Nothobranchius furzeri: one gene and its partners. The protein of the gene in region 1 interacts with the protein of each later gene in a pairwise test. Links are inferred from orthologs where the notes say so. Each region holds a gene or a part of one and is shown in the gene's direction. Other genes may lie near its edges. The genes, in order: tank, ikbkg, plk1 and htt.

Region 1 (5,829 bases):
AATGCATGAAAAAGTTGCTTTGTTCTTTGAGTGCTACATACAGGTGCTGGCCAGTAAATTAGAATATCATCAAAAGGTTGAAAATATTTCAGTAATTCCATTCAAAACATGAAACTTGTACATTATATTCATGCAATGCACACAGACCAGTGTATTTCCAATGTTCATTACATTTAAATGTGATATTCATAAGTGACAACTAATGAAAACTCCAAATTTGGTATCTCAAAAAATTAGAATATTCTGAAAAGGCTGAATATAGAAGACACCTGCTGCCACTCTAATCAGCTGATTTACTCAAAACACCTGCAAAGGCCTTTAAAAGGTCCCTCAGTCTTGTTTTGAAGGCACCACAATCATGGGGAAGACTTCTGACTTAACAGCTGTCCAAAAGACAATCATTGACACCTTGCACAAGGAGGGCAAGACACAAAAGGTGATTGCTAAAGAAGCTGGCTGTTCGCAGAGCTCTGTGTCCAAGCACATTAACAGACAGGCGAAGGGACGGAAAAAATGTGGTAGAAAAAAGTGTACAAGCTCTAGGGATAACCGCACCCTGCAGAGAATTGTGACGACAAACCCATTCAAAAATGTGGGGGAGATCCACAAAGAGTGGACTGCAGCTGGAGTCAGCGCTTCAAGAACCACCACGAGGAGACTCATGAAAGACATGGGATTCAGGTGTCGCATTCCGTGTGTCAAGCCACTCTTGAACAAGAAACAGCGCAAGAAGCGTCTCGCCTGGGCCAAGGACAAAAAGGACTGGACTGATGCTGAGTGGTCCAAAGTTATGTTTTCTGATGAAAGCAAGTTCTGCATTTCCTTTGGAAATCAAGGACCCAGAGTCTGGAGGAAGAGCGGAGAAGCACAGAATCCACGTTGCATGAGGTCCAGTGTAAAGTTTCCACCGTCAGTGATGGTGTGGGGTGCCATGTCATCTGCCGGTGTTGGCCCACTCTGTTTCCTGAGGTCCAGGGTCAATGCAGCCGTCTACCAGGAAGTTTTAGAGCACTTCATGCTTCCTGCTGCTGACCAACTTTATGGGGATGCAGACTTCACCTTTCAACAGGACTTGGCACCTGCACACAGTGCCAAAACCACCAGCACCTGGTTCAAGGACCATGGTATCCCTGTCCTTGATTGGCCAGCAAACTCGCCTGACCTTAACCCCATAGAAAATCTATGGGGTATTGTGAAGCGGAGGATGCAATACGCTAGACCCAACAATGCAGAGGAGCTGAAGACGACTATCAGAGCAACCTGGGCTCTCATAACACCTGAGCAGTGCCACAGACTGATCGAGTCCATGCCACGCCGCATTACTGCAGTTATTGAGGCAAAAGGAGCCCCGACTAAGTATTGAGTGCTATACATGCACATTCTTTTCATGTTCATTCTTTTCAGTTGGCCAACATTAGAGAAACAAACATTTTTTCATTGGCCTTTAGAATATTCTAATTTTCTGAGATACCAGATTTGATGTTTTCATTGGTTGTCACCTATAAATATCAAAATTAAACGTAATAAACATCGGAAATACATTGGTCTGTGTGCATTGCATGAATATAATGTACAAGTTTCACGTTTTGAATGGAATTACTGAAATATTTTCAACCTTTTGATGATATTCTAATTTACTGGCCAGCACCTGTATTATTTTACCTGTTTTCAGGGCTGCGTTTGCAAGGCCTCAGACTTTGCTGTCTGTGGCTGAATGGGCTGCAAATTTGCATATAAACTATTAAAATAATGTAAATTAGCAGATGCATACTTGTTTTGCATCATTTTATGTGTAAGGCACACAGGTTCTTATTGTTTCCTGAATTTAATAGCAACAGCACTGCAACAAATGATTTGCAAGGTTTATTCAAATCAGTCGCAAATCTTTAGGCAAAGCCTGCACAGGTAGGCGTGAAGTATTAATTAAAAAAAAGGAAAGTAACAAAGCATAAAACTCAAGTTTTGGAGACAATTTTCACATGCACAACAGTCGGTTTGTAGACGCGTAGGCTGGAAGAACCCTCAGTTCAGTTAACCACCCTGCACTCCTCCAAGCTCGCCGCTGATTGGTCAGGCTCGGGTAAAGGCGGAAGTCCACAGAGCAGGGGGATTCCCCGAGGGAAGTTCCCAACTCAAACTGGGCTATGTAAAACACACATTACCATATCCTCTGTAGCGCTTCGTAACTTTCTATCAGAAGATTAGGCGACGATGCGGCCGTGGTGTCACAACAAGACATTAATTAGACTTTAAGGAGTAGCTGGAACGAAGGTAAGAAGGGACGCGCTCGCGCCGGCTGAGCGGATCCGCGGAGAGTCTCTTTCCTTTTTCTTCTGGTTCTTTTTTGATTTGACCGGCTGAAAGCATCAGAAGGAGAAGGCATTACAGATAGTTACAGTTCAAATAATACGGAACTATGAAACACTCCAAAAAAGTCAAACTCAAAGGTTTCTTGGAAGGTTTCTGCGTATTTATTAGCTTACGGTAACTGATCCAGGAGCAGCTGGTAGCTACTGGTTAAGCTGACACTTCTAATGGAGAATAATTGATGGAGAGATCCTGGTAAGACTTCCATTAGCTTCTTTACTATCACTCATCAGTTTCAGCTGTAAACACGGTCCTCCATTTGTTTTGCTCTAATATTTAAATTAAAAAAGCAGTGAATCTATTAGCATAAATTATTTGCATCACTTTTTAGTGGTTTAGCTGCTCATCTGCATTTATGTCCTCAAAACTGAAGAAGAAAATCAATATCTGACATTTAGATCCAACTTTTGTTTCATCTAGACTTAATATTCATGAAGAAAAACGTATTTTCATGATTGCTCAATTCAGCCTGATACAGTTTTCCTCATTGCATCAGTCCATTACTTCAACAAGAATTTAGCAACATTTGTACAAAATATAAGTCTCTTTTCATAATTTAAAATGAAACAAAAAAATATAAGTATTAAGCAGATAGTAAATGCAAATCATGCCTAAAAGTTGTTTGAATTGTGATTTATTTTTTTGCAGAAGCGGCTGTAATAGTTTAAAATTTCACTTACAGGGCTCATGTCTGCCGTGTCAGTGATGACCGCGGAGCACAAGGCATGGAAAGGAACATTGGAGACCAGCTCAACAAAGCTTTCGAAGCTTATCGCAAGGTCTCCATCGAAAAGGACAATGCTAAAAAGGAGCTGCAGAAAATGGTAACTGCGGGTTAAATTGTTGCAAGCAGATTTGGTTCTTTATGTTTCCAATAGAAATTTGTGTAAATCATCTAAAGCTGTGTTTATTGATGGGTAACTGAGCATAAATTGTGTGTTTACAGACTGAATATTATGAGCGATACACTCAGGAGCTCCAGAAGCAGATAGAAGACCAGCAGAGGTTGATTTCTGAACTTGAAGCTAAGTTGTCTGCAGCGAGTCAAACATCAGGTTTGAACAAACACGCTCTTACTCTGCACGCATCCTGGGATTTTGACCACATTTCAAACACTTGTATTTTGTTTTACTCTCTTAATTTCCTACATTTTGATTCCTAGAAGAAATAAAATGTGAGCCTTGCAACCATCTCCTCGAAGGGCCCGGCACTTACAGGACACCACAGACCCCGGTGTGTTCTCGCGTAAGAGTCACAGCTCTTTCCACCTCATCGTTGAAATTAAGGACATGCATCCAGTAGCTTGCAGCTTCCTCTCACATTTGTAGAAGTTGGCAGAGCTTCTGCTTTAGTTTGGTGCTGCTATATAAAAGGACTTACAGGAACAAATCAGACCTGCACCCATCTAGAAGTGTAGAATATTAATACATGATTCAAACTGGTACTTTTTAGCATTTCCCTTAATGGTCTTGATTAGTTCTTAGTAATGTTTTCTTCCATATGTGCAGCACTTATTATAGTCATAATATTATTGTCTTGATTATTTCAGCAACAGTAAGACAATGTCTTAATTTTTCTGCTGACTTCAGCATTTTTACATAAGACTGTGGCCTGCAGTGCGTCCCCTTTTACTTCACCAGATGGTGCTAGAGGATAACATCACTGCTCAGTGCAGCTTCAGCTTTTCAAGGAATTTTTTGTGTCTCAACCAACCAGGAAGCATTTTCACTTGTGATGCATGAAATAAAAGTGTGCACGTCTCGGCAGCATGCTCTTGGATAATTGTTGTTAATGACAACTAAAAATTTAATGTGTCTTTTTCAGAAGATGGGCACCGTTGCTCCTAATTTGCCCGTCAGCAGCAGCGGCGTTGACTAGTACGTGTCTCTCCTTGACTGTTTCTTTTATTATCTCTTCAAATCCACAAATCCTGATTTTACAATTTAAAATGTGACCCCCCCCTTACATTTTGTTTTATTTATTTGCCAGTCAGGACATGCAGGGGGCTTTTGAAGCAATTCAAGGTCGATTTCGACAGATCCAGTCTCTAACCAGAAGACAAAAAGATCACCTGAAAAGATTTCATAGAGGATGCGATGCGTCAAACGGTAATAGTGACCTTCGTATTGCACAACCTTGACAAAATTTCCTTAAATGTGCAGAAAAGCTTTATTAAGTTGCATAAATATGTGTTCGTTTTTAAATTATATCTGTTCTGAGAACATCAGTGGCTGATCTCTGGGGGGAAAAAAGATTTAAAAGCATATTTAACCAGGTTAATATTTTCTTTACATAGTGGATGTTTTAATAACTCAAAACTACAATACCTTTTTAAAAATTATTTTTCAAGTTTTTGTATCTTCTAAAATGTGAATTAAAAGGATCTGTTTCATGTAAAACAAACAAGAACACGTTAACAACTTGCACAACAGGAAAAGGAAAAAAAAAATCTATATTTTTTGTGTGAATCTCTTTACAGTTCTTTTAGACCTAAAGGCTGCAGACATCTTTTTTCCCTCGGTGTTGAATCAGTTTAAACCGTGTCCTTTTGAAACTTTAATTAGTACATGTGCATATCATGCATGTAAATTTTGACAGCCCTATGAAAGTATCAGTAGCAGGTTGTGCGCTAACTGGAGTTGATAAGTGCAACATTTGACTGCTGATAGTTAAATTCGCTGCTTTGTTATGTTATTGCTTGCGTTCTGTTGACCCTCCGTCCACTAACGAAACCAAAAACGGTGACAATTTGAAATGCGTGATAACAAAACAGTGACACAACACATCTGCTGGCTGCTGCCGTTCCAGGAAGTGAGAAACACAGTGGGTTTTTGGTCACACCAAAACAAGAAATCAGAGGAATAAAACGTAATTCACTGAAACTTTTATCGCCACACAACCTCGTGGAGAGCTGCTTTGTTGTCGGACATGATGAGAACATCTAATCTCTGCTGACAAAGTGGGAATATGTGCGAATGCTTGTTTAGCAAAAAAAAAAAAAAATGAAATGTACGCAAAGGGCTGACAGCGGTTTGAATCAATGCTTTTGTCTTCTTCATTCTCGTGATGCATCCTCTGCTCTAGGGCCTTTTTTTATTGTCTTTGCAGCAAAATTCCATTAATTCCGTAAGAAACGGCACCTTTAAAGTCCTGGTTCGGTTTTTCTGAAGTGAGTTTTCTGTAGAAAAATTACGATTAATAATTATCTTACCTGCTGTTGAAAGTATTTTGAGTCACCTCAGTTTGGAAAATTTATATCTGACCAACTATCAAGTAATCTGAGTGATAAAACCAAGAATTTTTTTCTCTGCTTCAAAAAAACCTCTTAATTAGAAAATGTCACAGTGGTTCATACTCAAGCTATGTAATAAAAGACCAGATCTCTGTCAAGTTAGCGTTACACGGTCATTTATGCAAAGTGCTATAGTTATTTGATTCTAATTTAACACTTCCAGATATTGT
Region 2 (5,737 bases), on another chromosome or scaffold:
TGTTGGGTGACTGGTTTTAACTGACCCGTTCGGTGACTGGTTTTAAATGACCCGTTCGGTGGCTGGTTTTAACTGACCTGTTCGGTGACTGGTTTTAACTGACCTGTTGGGTGACTGGTTTTAACTGACCTGTTCGGTGACTGGTTTTAACTGACCTGTTGGGTGACTGGTTTTAAGTGACCTGCTCGGTGACTGGTTTTAAATGACCTGTTTGGTAACTGGTTTTAACTGACCTGTTCGGTGACTGGTTTTAACTGACCTGTTGGGTGACTGGTTTTAACTGACCCGTTCGGTGACTGGTTTTAACTGACCTGTTGGGTGACTGGTTTTAAGTGACCTGCTCGGTGACTGGTTTTAACTGACCTGGTCCTAGTCTTATTGGTGTCTTGTTTCTGTTTTATTTGTGCTGTGTTCAGCTCTTTGGCCCTTGAGGATGATGGAAAGCGCTACACAAATAAAAGCTGATGCTTGAAAACCCAAACTTCAGCGGTTTAGGAGGAGCAACCAAACCAAAATATTCCTTCTTTCTTAAGGAAAATCTAACTGAACACACACATTTCCAGCTGCTGCTGATGTTTTTGTCCCTGCTTCTATTACTCGTTCACTTTTTTGACAGGTTTATGTGTCACTTCTACACTGAAACAATATTTACTTTGGTTTTTTTAACCCAACCTGTGGAAAAGTGAAACCGTTAAAAGTCAAGCCATGGTCCTGGTCTCCGTACCAGCTTTCCTCCTGCAAACAGAGCCATCTTTGTGGAGTTGGAGTGCAAACAGATCTGATGCTCTCCAGGAGTGTGAGAGGTGAAGGTGAAGCGTCCGTCAGAGCCGTACTGACGAGAGAGGATGATCTGGAACGTGGAGGAGACACCTTCAGACTTACACCTCTGCTCTGAACCTCCAGACCTTCCTGTCTGGCTTTACCTTCGTGTCTGGATCCTTGATCTCTACATGCATGCCAAGGCCGGGGGTGGATGGGAGGAAGGAAGTGGTTTGTTTGTCCCACAGCTGAGTCCGGTACTTTCCTGTCACACACACACACACACACACACACACACACACACACACACACACACACACACACACACACACACACACACACACACACACACACACACGATCATCCACAAATTGGATGCCAGTAATAAACCAGCTTAACATCTGCTGTCCTGTGTTAGGACGGAATATTGGACACATGGATGTAATAATAGTATTTATCTCATAAAATCATCCCAGCAATGAATGAAATATTTAATAAACATTCACATTTATACCCCATCTCCTCTTTGCATTTAAAAGATTGTGTATTCATTTTGATATTTGACAGATCTTTTGTTTAGGTTTGATGGAAATACCTTCGTAAACAGGAAAATGTTTATTTTATTGATAATAAACAACAAGCTAAAGATCAATGGCCAAAAGTTGAATGTTTCCCTTAAATGATCTGAATTTTCAGATATTTAAACGTTATTTCTCCTCAGTGGTGAACAACCCGCAGCTGAAGCCTCCAGAATTTCCTGTCTGACTCGAGTCTCTAATAATAATAATAATAATAATAATAATAAACAACTATTGGTGTCATCTGCTGCATCTTTAAACAACCAGCTGTTAGCAAGACGGCTAGTTAGCTGCGTTAAGCTAACCGGCTCACCGATCACCATCGTCTCGTCTGGAATTTCTTCAATGAAGCATTTTTTCTCCGTCTCTCCGATGTGGAAATAAAGCGCGCCGCTGGGGTAAATCCAGGCCACCAGAAGAGAAACCGCTGCGGCAGAGATGGGGAGCATCTTCACCTCCTTCACGTTAGCGGACATCAAAATGCTGCAGCGCACTGACGTCATCTTCCACTACGGAACAAGGAAGGGGCTTTCCTGAGAACGGAGTGTTTACACCCTGGGTTAATACTGACAGGAGAGTTTTCCTCTGCAGCGCTTAAAGATACGATGTGCCACTGGTATTATTTAAATTCACAGCCATTTCGATTTGATCACACACTTGTAATTTGTCAACTTTTTTATTGTTCATTTGTGTTAATTAAACGTCTTAAAATAAACGACACGTTTTTCGATGTTCGAGTCACGGGTGTTCTGCCTACAAGGCTAAACTGAGGGTGATATATCACGATTTTTCCACGCTAATAACAGTCGAAAAGCTGACAGCTTACCTTTGGTTTGCCTCTGATTTACCTCTGGTAGTCTTAAACTCACGAAGGAAAGGATTCAAAACTGGACACATGCTTTAGGAAGGCCACATGATCCGTTGATGTAGGTCCGTGTTTATGTGAAACCAAAGGCGTCCGTTTGCCCAGCCGTTGTTGTGCTATATTAGCTTACTGAGCTAATTAGCTGTATCTCAGCTGTTTGAGTCAGATTGCTCTTTTAAACTCGGTGAAGGGAGTAGTTTGTGAGTCTGAGACTGGATAATTGTTGTTTACGACATAAAATTTAAAAAGGTAAGACAAGTTTTGTGTCTGTTAGCTGTGTGTTAGCTATGTTGTCTAAACAGTATTTAACGTGAGCTTTGCTGAGGTTATCGTGATGTTCTTCATAGCAGACACCTGATCTTACTTTTATGACAATGACAAGGCTGAGGTCCCATAAGAAGAGGTTGATGACCACCTGTTCTCAGGTGTAACTGTTCAGAAGGGCTTCTGGCACCTCGCCAATGAGCCGTGACACAAACCGGTCATATTAAACACAGTTAATTCACATTTAAACTGAAAGTGAAAGTTTCACGTTTCCAGATCCCCAACGGGGCTGAAACGTGTCCAGTCCCCCTAGACGTCATGCTCAGGTCTTACTTACACCTGAAATGTTCACTTGTTCCATGGTGGCTTTTAGGATCGTTTTTCATTTTATTTTTCTTTTAATCACATATTTATGTACTTCTTATTTTAAAATCAAACAGCACAGCCACGATTTGAGCCTGCTGTCTCTCAAATAATAACAATTTTAATTGAACAAGGACAATATTCATACAAGGGAAAAATATACATGCAGGAGATCCTTGTGACTTCCTGTTTTTTCATCTTTATGAGCCATTTGGTATGTTATAGTAATGTGAATTTAACAATAAGAACATGGTGATAACTAGAATTAGAACCATTTGTATTTCTGATATTTTTGTGCATTTGAAAGCGATCGGCTGTAGACTCAGATAATTGCTTGATTGTTCTTTTTTCTAATTTACTTCTGACTTCAATGTGTAGATTATTGGAAACCATATTTATAAGTAAGGAAGTAGTTAGCGAACCAGGGGAAACTTTTTTCTTACTAGAGCTACAGAAGCAGCAAAAGTTGCTGTTTTGTCTGTTGTTGCATTAGATGACAATCGGAGCGACCACAATAACATAAAAAAAGGAATAGAATAGACTTTATTAATCCCACAGTGGTGAGATTCACTCACTACAGGTGTGACGTCATAAAGCAGTAAAGAAGTGACTGAACTCTGCAGTTTCTGGGATGATTTTCTGTTGGTGGTGAAACAAACTGTTCCTGCCTCTGCTGGTTTGAACTGACCTGCAGTGTTGATGGTAACAGGTTTTTTAGTCTTTCTTACCAACGTACACAATATGTTTTAATTTGACTAACAAAAAAGTTTCTCCAATGCCCGTTTAAATAAATGCCACGAAGGCTGGATTTTAGACGTTATTAAAAAATGAGCTAAAAGTGTAACAAGTCTCCAAAGGAAACCAGGAAACAGGTTCAGGAACCGCCAGAGTCTGAGTTCTTCATATGAAGAAGTGAATGGATTAGATCTCTGTAATTCCCAGCCTTTGCTTCTGCAGGAATGGTGCAGCCGCAGCCTGATGGTCCGATGCAGTGGGACATGTCAGGAGAGGACTGCGGGGGGGTCCTCAGGGTCCCACCAGAGTTCGCTGGTAATGAAGTGGTGACCAGATTGTTGTGTGACAACCAGCAGCTTCGAGGTACCTAAAAACACACGACGGTCACGCTTGTGTGTATTACCAGATGCTCAGCGGGGCTTTTAGGTTTCCGTGTGTCTGATTTAGCATTTTCAGAAGTCGTTTAAGTTTAGAGTTATCGAGGTAAAAGAACAAAGTAAATTCAAACAGTAATTTCAGCCTTTACTGTAACGGTGATTGGATGCAGGAGCGGTGTCCACGACAGGCTGAGTTTATCAGGATCAACACATGCTGCTTTTATGCAGTTCCAGACTTTCCTAGATGACAATCCAATCCTTGAGTTTTTCAGTCTGCTTCTTGTTGTCGGCACAGCTCTGAATCTGCTCTTCTAGCTGTCCGTAGCAACATTTCTTTAGCTGCTGATGCTAAATCGGCAGCGGTTTTGGTTCTACTAGCCCTCTCAGCAGCCTCGACACAATCAACCACCCACTTCCTATCAGAATAGTATGTTGGCATTTGAGGTAGGAGTCAGTGAATCCTGCCTTGCTCAGCTTCAGAGGGTTCTGAGTGCTGCAGCTCGCCTTTTAAGTGGCAATCAAAGGTTTTCCCTCATTTTAGCCTCCCTGCACTGGCTGCTTGTTCATTTTAGGATTGATTTTAAAATGATTTTATTTGCTTTTAAGGGCTTAAATGGCCCGGCCCCTCCCTATCTGTCTGAGCTACTGCATCGCTACACGCCCGCTCGTTCGCTCAGGTCAGCTGATCACAGGAGTAGCTACTCCTCAACACGGATCAGTCACCCACACATTCACACACTGGTGGTGATGAGCTACGATGTAGCCACAGCTGCCCTGGGGCGCACTGACAGAGGTGAGGCTGCCGAGCACAGGCGCCACCGGTTCCTCCGACCACCACCAGCAGGCAAGGGGGGTTTAGTGTCTTGCCCAAGGACACAACAGCAGCATTCTCTGGTCAGAGTCGGGATCAAGATGGTGAGATTTCATCCATCATGACGTGTCAGAAAGACAGTCTGAGATGTGTGTGGAAATTGTGGGCTCATCCGGCGGGAATGACGGATAGAGCTGGGTGTCGTCAGCATAGTAGTGGTAGGAGAAGCCATGTGATTGAATGATCTCACCCAGTGAGGTGGTGTATATGGCAAAGAGGTGCTAGTACAGAGCCCTGGGGGACTCCTGTGGCAACATGGTGAACAGCAGAAGACTGTCCTAGCCACGATACACTGAATGATGGTCCTGTCAGGTACGATTCAAACCAGGAGTGTGCTTTCCCTGTGATGCCCACGCTAGAGGGTGTGGACTAAAGGAAGCCATGGTTCACAGTGTCCGATGCAGCCGATTGGTCAAGCAGGATAAGTACTGAGGATTTGGCAGTCGCTGTTAGTCACTGCTAACAGAGCCGTTTCAGTGGAGTGGCCATCTTTTAACCCGGGTTGGTAGAAGAAGGGTCAAGCAGACAGTTTTGTGACAGGTGTTCTAAGATCGGCTTGAAGGCCGCCCTTTCAATGATTTTAGACAGGAATGGGAGGAGAGATAGCTCGGTAGTTCTCCACATGATCTGGAGGAAGGGAAGGTCTTTTAGCAGCAGTTTAACCTGAGCGTGCTTGAGAGAGGTGGGAAGTGAGGTCAGTGAAGCGTTCATCACACGTGTGACTGCAGCAGCTACTGTAGGAGCAACAGATCGGAGCAGCTTTGTCGGAATGGGGTCGAGTGGGCCTGTCGTAGGGCCTAACCCTTGGACACACTTTTCTCAGAGGATGTCCAAATCTGTCTGCCTGTTTAACCGAAGACGGGAAACACGACTGTGAAGTTGTCTAGACCACACCGACATGGCTGTCTGAAAACCTTACTAATGA
Region 3 (5,910 bases), on another chromosome or scaffold:
CTTGGGTGTTCTGAAAGGCGCTTTTAAATAAAATGTATTATTATTATTATTATTAAACACGTCTGTTTATAATTTCCCTGAGCTGGAGAAAAAAAGGTAAAAAAAAAAAAGAAATAGATAGTTAATAAGACAATCTGATTATTTTACAATTTACTTAATAGTGAATAAATGAAACTTTAATCCTTTAAGGTCCCAATGAGTATAAAATGAAAAGCTGGAGGAAATTATCACACCATATTTAGTTACATTGGATCTTTAATCCCAACACGGATTAGAATACAAATATCATACACTATTTCTCTTTTCAACAGATCATTTTTCCTGTCCTTGGTCCCTGGCAAACATTACAAACAAATGCATAGTGCTAGCATCATTTGAATATTTAAAACAGTCCCTACAGTCTTTTTAGGTCATTCATTATTATAAAGTGAAAACTAAAAGTTTGCATTCTCCACATAACTTTTAGATTTCACCATCACTTTTGAAGACAGACATTTTGATTAATTTTATTCTATATTTACATATCTTTGGCTGAAATATGTATTCTAAATGTGGCAAGCATGTTGTTCTGATTTAGGAAAAAACATCCTTTGTCCTGGTTTTGCTAACGCTTTACTTTATGTAGGTGAAAAATTAAAGAGCTCACAGCACCCTTGAGATTCCAGTGAGCCAAAACTGTGGAAGAAAAGAAGATGAAACATGGAGGGAGGTAACCTACTCTACTTTCTTTGTGCCCCTCTGCAGAGGACGTTCAGCTCTCTGCAAAATCCTGTGTAATAAACTAAATGTGTGTAAATGTTGACCCATACAAGCACAGACAAGCTTACTTCATTTAGTTTTCCCTACAGCATCTTCTGTGTGTTGCCATGGAAACACATGGCAGCAGAAGAGAAGGATGAATGTGCAAAAATGGAACAGACACATATAAGCCAGCAATCTCCACACATCACCCACCAGTCGGACTAAAGCCTGAAGACCATTTATAAACAAACACACAAAGTGAAAAAACAAAAAACTGTAAAACACACATATTTTAAAGAGTGTGTGCATAGTAAATAGTCCCTATATTAAACATCCCCCCTTATAACAAAGTCAAATCAGCCACTAGCTGTGCACTCTTACTTTTTGTTTTAATAACTATGGGAGGCTTCAACAGAAAATGATTCCCTGGAAAAAGTGTTGTGGACTGAAATTTTTATTTTAAGATGATGTTACCTATTTAATGATTAGACATTTATAAAGTTAATTCTAGACCATCATGACAATAATCTATTTATGATCTCATTATTTACAGCTGTGAATCCGTGCTGTGTCATATGAAGTGCTTATTGTGTGATTGGTCTGAAAAAAGTGCTTTCTCAAGGAACAATAATTGTGAATTTGTCCACTGCTGCCACCCAGTGGAATATGTGTGAAAGTGAATTAAACTATCAATAATGTAATTTTTTGCAACATCATGATTTTCTCAATTTACCTTTTAACTGTAGAAATACACAATTTAATAGTTCTGTGCCGATATCGTTTTTGCAAACATGCTTTTATTACTCAAAACGTTTGTGCATTTCGTCTTATTTTATTTCAATTTTCGTTTTTATTTTGACCACACTGTCGTTTCACTGTTTTATCCAGTTTAATAATATGATTACATGTTAAAATTAAATCCTTCTTGGATTCTGGATGACGATAAAATCAAGTAAAATCTAACACTAGTCTACATTTACCATCAGCCTTTGCGTTAAGGAAACGCAAGACGTCATTGAGCCAATCACGATGTTAGAACTTTATTTCAACCCCGTTGATTGGCTAGTTTTGCATTTTTCTTCCCACAATGCTTTGCGTAGAATTCAAATCAAGTGGACCAATGAGAAAGCGCCGTGGCGACAGAGCGAGCATTTAACTTAATACTAGAAACTGTTTTCGAAGGGCAGAACAGAACACAGGAGACGCCGCCGTCGGACACGTCTGCTGAATTATTCCATGAGGAAAGCAGATTTATTTTAATATTTATGTCTATATATGTCGTTTTATAATTGTAGAACCTAATGTTAATTATCGCTTGCTTTCAGGAAGTCTAAACTCGTGATTAGATTTAAATTCAGACGTGTATGGGAGAAAGTTAGCTAGCTAGGCTAAAGTAACGTCGGTTGTGTTAGGGTTAGTAGTTTGATTCTTGTAGTTTTCACCACGTTTACTGCGCGGAGAGAAAATAAACATTCCTGTAAGTTCATAGAAGACAGCTCTAATACAAAATGAGTGCTGGTACCGCAAAGCCGTTGGAACGTGCGGATCCCAAATCGGCACCTCTCAAAGAAATCCCAGAAATTCTCGTTGATTCCCGAACCATGAAAAGATACACGAGGGGGAGATTCCTCGGGAAGGGTGGTTTCGCCAAATGCTACGAGATCACAGATGTAGAGACGAAGACGGTGTTTGCTGGCAAGATCGTAGCTAAGTATTTGTTACAAAAGCAGCACCAAAGGGATAAGATGACCTCGGAAATCGCCATACACAAGAGTCTGGATCACGCTAACATCGTCGGCTTCCACGGGTTTTTCGAAGACGATGACCATGTGTTTGTGGTCCTGGAGATCTGCAGGAGAAGGGTGAGTACGATGGAAGGAAACCAGCTTTTCAGTGAGGTTTAGAGCCGACGGTTAAACACTGCGACATCTTCCGTTGTCCTCATGTTTAAATAGTGGGAAGCAAGCAGTACCAGACTCATTTAACACCTCACAACTATTTGATCTTTGATAAAAACATCTTAAAAAGAAACTTCTAGCCTATAAATGTGGGTTTATTGGTCCAGTACCACTCTGGTGGCCCCATGTGTACCATATGTTCAATCTTATAATTAAACGCATAAAAGATCACTCTTTTCTTGAGCTGTTGTCTTGACTGTTTAAAATGCTTTATTTCAGTCCTTGCTGGAGCTGCACAAACGCCGCAAGGCTGTGACGGAGCCTGAAGCTCGCTACTACATGGCCCAGCTGCTGAAGGGTGTCCAGTACCTGCACAACAACAAGGTCATCCACAGAGACCTGAAACTGGGCAATATCTTCCTCAACGACGACATGGATGTCAAAATTGGTACTCCACTTGCTTGGACTTGTAGCTTGCACTAGATCTTTTGTTTTTATCACGTCGAGAAGGATTTGAATCAAAGCATGCCTCGTTATTACGTGTTCTCTCTTGTTTAGGGGACTTTGGCTTGGCGACTAAGATCGAGTTTGAAGGCGAACGAAAGAAGACTTTGTGTGGAACGCCCAACTACATAGCACCAGAAGTGCTTTGTAAAAAGGGCCACAGCTATGAGGTCGATGTCTGGTCACTTGGGTGCATATTGTAAGTACAGGCCCACAAACGCAACTCATTTGAAATGTCCCAGCTGTGAAAGCTTCCCTTTTCTGTTCTTTCAGGTACACTCTGTTGGTGGGCAAGCCCCCGTTTGAGACCTCCTGTTTGAAGGACACCTACAGTCGCATCAAGAAGAACAACTACACCATCCCCTGGGTATGAAAATCAAACTGAATGCACCGTTTTCTTTCTAAAATTAAGTTAATAATTGAGTCGTATGATCTGAACAACCTGCAGCACATCACCCCGACTGCGGCGACTCTGATCAAGAAGATGCTGCACGCCGATCCTGCACAGAGGCCAAGCGTTGCTGAAGTGCAGGCCGATGAGTTCTTTACGTCCGGCTACATCCCCCTCCGTCTGCCCACCACGTGTCTTACTGTACCCCCTCGGTTCTCCATCGCCCCCTCCACAACTGCAGAGCTCAGCCAGCGGCGTCCTCTGACTGCTCTAAACAAGGGTAATGGCGATCAAAATGAAAATCTTTGTTTTTATTTTTCCTAGGCAATGATGTTTGAGTTGATCCACATAGATTTTATTAGTCTTGTTTTAGATGTTAACGTTTTTTTTTTCTTTGTTCCCAGTTGGTACGGAGAAAACGGAGGTGAAAGACGAGCCTATGCAAAGGTGTTTTTCATTTATTTATCACATGACAAACATTTTATAAAAATTCTAGTTCTGTTAGTTTTTATCTTTTCTTTGCGTAGATGTTGTTAACCTTTAAATGTGTGTGTGTGCAGGGCGGCTGAACCATCAGAGCCCTACCTGAAAGACATGCTGCAGCAGCTGAACAGCATCATGTCCACCAAACCCTCTGAAAGGGCCGTCATCCAGCAAGGTTAGTGGACGTGTCTCACTTCGTCTTTACCGATCTTGTGGAGTCTCTGTTGCTATTTCTCTGAATTTTGTCAAAACGGATGCGGTTATCTACTTTTTAATCTACATCTAAGGTTTTTTTGTGTAATTCCAGAGGAGGCCGAGGATCCTGCGTGCATCCCCATCTTCTGGATCAGCAAATGGGTCGACTACTCTGATAAATATGGATTAGGTAAATGTTAGGAGACCGTTTGTTTGTTCACATAAGCTGCAATTTTAACTTTGTAAGTTTGGTTTAGACTATTAAAAGTATATACAGGGTATCTGCAGGTCCATAAAAAGTCTTAAATTAGCTTTTCCAAATTTAAGGCCTTAAAAATCCTTAAAAATGACAAATAGTCCTTAAATAGTTTCCAACGGTCTTAAATTACCAAAGACCCAATAAACAAGATTCTTTTATTTCTATAAAATTTTCATGAATTTCTAGTTAGTTTGGCATTTTTTGTGTATGATATTGGCGTAAGCGGAACCGTACACATTCGGTTGGTTGTGAAAGGGGGCTATTTTTAGATGAGCATGCTAGTGGGAGTTTGCACCATGGGGAAGTGCAACATTAATGGTAAATGGATGGCTAATCCCACGTTCACGACCTGGTTAGCACCGGTTCCAGGCAATAGCTGGAAATTATAGCTTAAATTTAATTTAAAAAAAAAAGAAGCTTAAATTTGGTCAAAGTGGCCTTAAAAAAGGTCTTAAAAAGTCTTAAATCTGGCTCCCTTAAACCTGCAGATACCCTGTATAGATGTTATCTGGTACTGTTAAAAGTATCTTTACAGAGTTTTTAATGTCTGTTCCAGGCTACCAGCTCTGCGACAACAGCGTGGGGGTTCTGTTCAACGATTACACCCGGCTCATCATGTACGCTGACGGAGACAGCCTCCAGTACATCGATAAGACTGCAGCTGAGTCCTACCTCAGCGTTCGCTCTTTCCCCGCTACTCTCAACAAAAAGGTCAGACAGTGTTTTTATTTATTTTTTAATTCCATTTTATCCCCTTCAAGGCCATCACAGTGACTTGTATTTCTCTCTGGCTGTAGATTACGCTGCTGAAATACTTCCGTAACTATATGAGCGAGCACCTCCTGAAAGCTGGGGCCAACATGGCGCGGCGGGAGGGAGATGAGCTGGCACGGCTGCCTTACCTCTCCTTGTGGTTTAGGACGAAAAGCGCCATCGTACTGCACCTCAGCAACGGCACAGTTCAGATCAACTTCTTCCAGGTTAGATGGTTAACCCTTTCACTCAACGCGTGATGCTTCACGTGCGCGATCCCTCATCTTCTATCATTATGTGCTTTTCAGGATCACACCAAGCTGATCTTGTGTCCGCTCATGTCGGCGGTGACCTACATCGACGAGAAGCGAGACTTCCGCACTTACAAGCTGTCTCTTCTGGAGGAGTTCGGCTGCAGTAAGGAGCTGGCTAGCCGCATACGTTACGCCAAGCAGATGGTGGAGAAGCTGCAGGACAGCAAGGCTTCTTCTCCTGCACAATAGTCTAGTTTGTTCCTCAAACCTTCAATCACTTTCCCTTCTAGTCGCAGAACTTTTAATATTACGTGTATTTTTTAAAGCGAAGCAGAGGTTTTCATGTCACACTTACACAATGTGCTCCATCAACCTAAACTTTAATATGCCAACATGTTTTCCTCTTATGTTCACCTTTCATGGACTGCTTAA
Region 4 (5,198 bases), on another chromosome or scaffold:
GCAGGGTTATCACCGGCAAATCTTGAATGTTATATTATTAAATTCACTTTAACGAATGGCAACAGACTCCCAGATCCCTGTGGCATTACGGAATGGGTGGAAGATGTAGGTGCGTGGCCAGATATCCAGTGGCCCGATATATATACGTTTTTAGTGGAGAGGCCCAGTAAGAACACACGTGAGATACAAATCGTTAGATGCATACAACTGTGTTGTCTGTGGCCACGTACAGAAAGTAAAATATCACGACATAGACTCTGAGTGTTGCGTCTTGAAGGCAGAAGTCCTTCCTAGCCAAAGACAAGGACACAAGACTGCTATGTACGAGGCTTGGGTCATAGTAAACAAACCAGAGAACTACGTCTTCACAGCCAACTGTACCTGCATGGCAGGGTGAGTATAGCATAGGTTTCTTTTTTTAGCGTGCTCAGAGTACAATCGTGTTAATTTTAGAGAAATACAGTTTATACTAATAGGCAGTGGGAAAATACAGATGAATTAGAATGAAATGTTAATTTGAAGCATGAAATAAAGCATATAAATTTGTTTAATTCTGTCATTTTGATGTTCCAGACTTGGGTCATGCTGCAGCCACGCAGCAGCAATTTTATTCAAAGTTGAGTTTTGTGTTAGGATGGGAAAAACAGAAAAGGCTGCAGTTACATCTCAGGCATGTGCATGGAAAGACCTGAGCAGGAAAAATGTAGAACCAGCTCCACTGAAGAAGATCAGTTTCCACAAACCGAAGAAGTTTAGCATAAAAGCTCCCAGCTGCTTCCGAAACTGTTAGGAGGAGCAGTGTCACACTAAGAGGCATGTAACGAATGACAAGTGTAATCTAAAGTTCTGGTTTGTGGTTGCACATTGAATGTATTATTTCTTAATTAATTGGTAATAATATACACGCAACAACCCGACATTTTTATGTGCTCAGAACTTCAAAACAAAGGGTTTAAAACGCTGTTTTAGTATCGAGTGTGAATGAGGAAGCCTTCACTCTCGTTGCCCGGCTGCGCGCGCAACTTTTGATGACGTAGGTAGTAAAAGGGTCTATTAACGGTGACTTTCATGTCATAAAAATGAGATTTACGTCTCCAGAGCCCCCTTCAGACAGGCCATGAAAAACGGAAATGTTCGGGACTCTGTCCTTAAGACCTTTGTGTCTGAATACAAACATCCGGATAACCTTTTCCGTAATTAAACCGGACGAAGCCCCTAGTAACAGGACCGGACTTGTCACGGACAGGTTAGCTGCTTCAGACTGGTGAGGTCGAGTTCCGGACAGGGAGGGGACCGGGAGGCGCTGTGCGCACCTAGATGGCTCGCTCCTGTAGCCTGCGGTGATCCATGGCAGCTCGCCTCCTACGGTACCGTCTCCTAGGCGCGAGACGGAGCGCTTCACACCGCTTCCGTGATTCCTTTATTAACCATTGAGCTTCATCATCCAGGTCTCGTCTTCATGTGTGCAGAATTATGCTTAACATAAGTCCGACCAGTGAGAGGAATTCTAGCTCTTCGTCGGCCATGTTTGAATGAATAGCTTTGTTTGGGTAAATGACGCATGTACGCCCGCCGCACCATGTTTACGCAATATCCGGGTCCAGCCTTCCCACCCCCTCCCCCTCAGACATCTGGAACTTTTCCCTGCTGTGTGAAGGCAGCTGAAAGGACAAGTTCAGGTACAAAAGTGGTGTGTCTGAAAACACAGTCCTGCTTAAAAACCGGACTGAATTGTCCACACATGTTCCAGAATGCCAATCTGAAAAGGGCTCAGGCGTGTTATGCCAATCCTGATGTTTGCTGTGTGTGATCCTGCAAACAGAACATCTCCAGAGTTCCAGAAGCTGCTCGGCATCGCCATGGAGATGTTCCTTCTCTGCAGCGACGACGGTGAATCAGATGTGCGGATGGTAGCTGACGAGTGCCTGAACAAAATCATCAAAGTGAGCAAAAACCTGCAAGACTCCTCCCACTTTAAAGTTGGCTTTGATTCGACGGTGTTGGACTTTTTATCTGACTGACTGGCTTGTTGTCGGCAGACTCGCGTTTATGTCGCAGTTTGCATTAAATCTGGCCCTCCATGTTTCCCATCAGCACAGACGTCGAGAGTTGGGGTCGAGGGAAAAGCTTCGCCTCAAGTAGTTTTGAGGGGTTTTCTCCTAATTTTTGCATTAAAGGAAACTTTTGATTTTAATGAACAGAAAACAGTTTAGTTGTTATAAAACGATCTCTGTGAGGATTTCTGTTTGTTTTCGTTGTTGAACCAGTGCTTGTTTTAACTCTTCAGGCTCTGATGGACTCAAACCTGCCCAGACTGCAGCTGGAGCTGTACAAAGAAATCAAAAAGGTCGCTTGCAGGTTTCTACAGTACCCCGAGTTTAGTTTGTGATCTAGTAAATAACGACAAGCGTTGTCATTTGTTTTTCACGGCTCAACAGAACGGTGCCTCTCGGAGTCTAAGAGCAGCTTTGTGGAGGTTTGCTGAGCTCGCTCATCTCATCCGACCACAGAAATGCAGGTAGCTGTCTAAATGTTCCTGTTATGTCGTCATATTCAGATGGCTGAACGTTAAAGGTGCAGTATGTAAGATTATAGTGAGAATGTTAGTGTGAAAATCCCATAAGAGTCTGTTTCAGTCATGTTGGCAGGAAGGTTAAACTGAAACATGTTTCATATCCAGCTGGCTGTGGGAATTGTCAGATTTTCTCCTTTCAATACAAAGGAAGGAGGGACGTAACTGCTTTACATCAGTGAGTGTGGCGTTGCCGAGCTAATGCTGCAGCGCCGACGACGGCCGGCAAAAAGCTCCAGAGTTGTTTAAAGAGCAAGTCACCCCCTACCAGAGTCTTACTCCGCTCCCACTTCCTGTTTGTTAAATGCAACAAATGCTGTTGCCTAGCAGACCGAGAGGGCGGAGCCGCTAACAAATACACACACAGGCTCACAACGACTTTGTGACATCATATGGTACCAGCTAACATTCTAGGGTACCTCTTAGCCAATAGCGATGGCAGATTTAAATTCAAATGCAGTGCAGAGTTTTTACCTGACAACGGCACAACACTGACGGTTTTAGGCAGAACATTTGAATTTTAAAGAGCAAGTCACCCCCTACAAGAAGCGTACTTCACTCCCACTTCATGTTTGAAAAGCGCAACAAATGCTGTTGCCTAGCAGACCGAGAGGGTGGAGCCACTAACAAATACACACACTCACGACATTGTGACATCATAATGTACCAGTTTACATCATAGCATACCTCTTAGCCAATAGCAGTGGCAGATTTAAATTCAAATGCAGTGCAGACTTTTTACCTGACAACGGCACAACACTGCCAGTTTCAGGCAGAAAATTAGAATTTTAACTAAAATGCACTAAAGTGCAAAACTATTGACTACACGTGTCTGCAGCACGATTAGACACACGTTTATATAGTTTATCGGGAAAAAAAATGTTGATTTGGGGGTGACTTGCTCTTTAACGTGGCTGCAGTAACCACATTTTACCACAGGATGTCATTTTTACTTCATTTCTACATGATGCACCTTTAAACATGGTCTTCTAGGTTTACGTAAAACAATGGGCTGGATGATTTAAGCTGCGTTGCTGAGAGCCAGGTGAAAATGAAACGATCAGAATCTGGTGCAGAAGTTAATTTATGTCAGTAAAACAACCTAAAAGGTAAAACTAATCAGAGACTGACTCGGTTCATGCAAATCCAGATGTTTTGGCTTTTATCTGTTCCATCTGTGATGATAATGGTTACAGCTGATGAAAACCCCACATTCAAAATCTCCAGCAATCAGAATATTGTTCAATGTTCTAGACTCTTAAGTGTCACGGTCTAATCAGCTGATGAATCCAGAACACCTGCAGAGGGTTCCTGAGCCTTTAGATGGTCTCTCAGTCTGAGCTGAATTACTTACATGAATGGACTTTTTCTCCAGATTCCAGTTTTTAGAGTTTTATTTGTAGTTTTTCTTCTGTCGAATCCCTAAAACTTGTTTAACGACTAAACTTGTTTTGTTAAAATGTGGCTGAGAACTCCTCGTGTAGCCACCGTGGCAGCGACTAGTCACGTTCAGTGTTGTCTCCGACTCAAATACATCACAACCTGATTGTGCTTCTCTCTGCGCTGCAGACCGTACCTGGTCAACCTGCTCCCATGCCTCACCAGAATCACCAAACGGCAGGAGGAAATGGTTCAGGAGACTCTGGCTGCAGCGGTGCCCAAGATCATGTCAGCCTTGGGACATTTCGCCAACGACGGCGAAGTCAAGGTGCGCCCCGCCCACTTGTGTGTTTTGTCAGAGTTATGTGTTGGCCTCTTGGCGAAGTATCCGTCTGTGCGGTCAGACCGCAGCTTTAGAAGCACATCGTTTCATTTAGCGTCTTTTTTTAGGTGCTGCTGAAGTCATTTGTTGCCAACCTGAAGTCCAGCTCCCCCACCATCCGGCGTACGGCAGCCAGCTCGGCCGTCAGCGTGTGCCAGCACTCGAGACGCAACAGCTACTTCTACACCTGGCTCCTTAACGTGCTGCTGGGTGGGTTACTCTAGAAGAGTGCTTCGGTAACGCCTGTTTAAGGGTAACGCCCAGTTTAACGGCAACACAACACACCTGTTCCATCGTTCTCTAGGCCTGCTGGTTCCGGTAGACGACGAGCGCCTGAGCCACCTGATTCTGGGGGTGCTGCTAACTCTCCGCTACCTGATGCCTCTGCTGCAGCATCAAGTCAACACCTCCAGCCTCAAAGGCAGCTTTGGGGTCATGAGGAAGGAGGCCGATGTGCAGCCAACACCTGAACAGCTGCTGCAGGTGAGCGTGCGTCAGGTGAATGTTTCCATGCGTTGGGGCTGTTTGCTGAACAATGCTGCGCGTGTCTGAAGGTGTACGAGCTGACCCTGCACTACACGCAGCACTGGGACCACAACGTGGTCGCCGCTGCCCTGGAGCTGCTGCAGCAGATGTTCAGGACCCCCCCACCAGAGCTTCTGCACATGCTCATCACAGCCGGCAGCATCCCACACGCCACCGTGTTTCGCCAGGACACGGAGAGCCGCGCTCGCTCGGGAAGCATCCTGGAGCTCATCGGTAATGTCAGCCGTAGAAGGAGCCGGGTGGTTTCTGCAGGGTGAAAGCTCGTCATCTCTTTGGTGCTGAGTGATGCGGCTTCGTCTTTGCTCCTTAACCCGGCTC

What was found.
Region 2: the proteins of tank (region 1) and ikbkg interact in binary tests that used the Homo sapiens proteins (3 or more experiments, as listed by UniProt). The link is inferred for Nothobranchius furzeri from reciprocal best matches to the Homo sapiens genes TANK and IKBKG.
Region 3: the proteins of tank (region 1) and plk1 interact in binary tests that used the Homo sapiens proteins (3 or more experiments, as listed by UniProt). The link is inferred for Nothobranchius furzeri from reciprocal best matches to the Homo sapiens genes TANK and PLK1.
Region 4: the proteins of tank (region 1) and htt interact in binary tests that used the Homo sapiens proteins (3 or more experiments, as listed by UniProt). The link is inferred for Nothobranchius furzeri from reciprocal best matches to the Homo sapiens genes TANK and HTT.

Annotation. Positions count from the first base shown.
Region 1 is NC_091754.1:19,406,058-19,411,886, forward strand, and holds the start of tank (TRAF family member-associated NF-kappa-B activator), read left to right. Parts: upstream 1-2,282; 5' UTR 2,283-2,548; coding exon 2,549-2,562; intron 2,563-3,049; coding exon 3,050-3,191; intron 3,192-3,313; coding exon 3,314-3,422; intron 3,423-3,529; coding exon 3,530-3,612; intron 3,613-4,191; coding exon 4,192-4,244; intron 4,245-4,356; coding exon 4,357-4,475; intron 4,476-5,829.
Region 2 is NC_091755.1:44,541,348-44,547,084, forward strand, and holds the start of ikbkg (NF-kappa-B essential modulator), read left to right. Parts: upstream 1-1,928; 5' UTR 1,929-1,953; intron 1,954-2,126; exon of another isoform or gene 2,127-2,451; intron 2,452-3,786; 5' UTR 3,787-3,788; coding exon 3,789-3,927; intron 3,928-5,737. Other genes in the region: tmed4 (transmembrane emp24 domain-containing protein 4), read right to left, coding at 725-850, 924-1,024, 1,651-1,840. UniProt on the Homo sapiens protein: Regulatory subunit of the IKK core complex which phosphorylates inhibitors of NF-kappa-B thus leading to the dissociation of the inhibitor/NF-kappa-B complex and ultimately the degradation of the inhibitor.
Region 3 is NC_091744.1:8,885,854-8,891,763, forward strand, and holds the start of plk1 (serine/threonine-protein kinase PLK1), read left to right. Parts: upstream 1-2,069; 5' UTR 2,070-2,249; coding exon 2,250-2,603; intron 2,604-2,918; coding exon 2,919-3,087; intron 3,088-3,197; coding exon 3,198-3,342; intron 3,343-3,416; coding exon 3,417-3,510; intron 3,511-3,591; coding exon 3,592-3,814; intron 3,815-3,938; coding exon 3,939-3,981; intron 3,982-4,094; coding exon 4,095-4,192; intron 4,193-4,324; coding exon 4,325-4,402; intron 4,403-5,027; coding exon 5,028-5,182; intron 5,183-5,268; coding exon 5,269-5,451; intron 5,452-5,532; coding exon 5,533-5,727; 3' UTR 5,728-5,910. UniProt on the Homo sapiens protein: Serine/threonine-protein kinase that performs several important functions throughout M phase of the cell cycle, including the regulation of centrosome maturation and spindle assembly, the removal of cohesins from chromosome arms, the inactivation of anaphase-promoting complex/cyclosome (APC/C) inhibitors, and the regulation of mitotic exit and cytokinesis.
Region 4 is NC_091746.1:25,504,741-25,509,938, forward strand, and holds part of htt (huntingtin), read left to right. Parts: intron 1-1,822; coding exon 1,823-1,943; intron 1,944-2,287; coding exon 2,288-2,347; intron 2,348-2,438; coding exon 2,439-2,518; intron 2,519-4,141; coding exon 4,142-4,280; intron 4,281-4,402; coding exon 4,403-4,544; intron 4,545-4,638; coding exon 4,639-4,817; intron 4,818-4,888; coding exon 4,889-5,093; intron 5,094-5,198.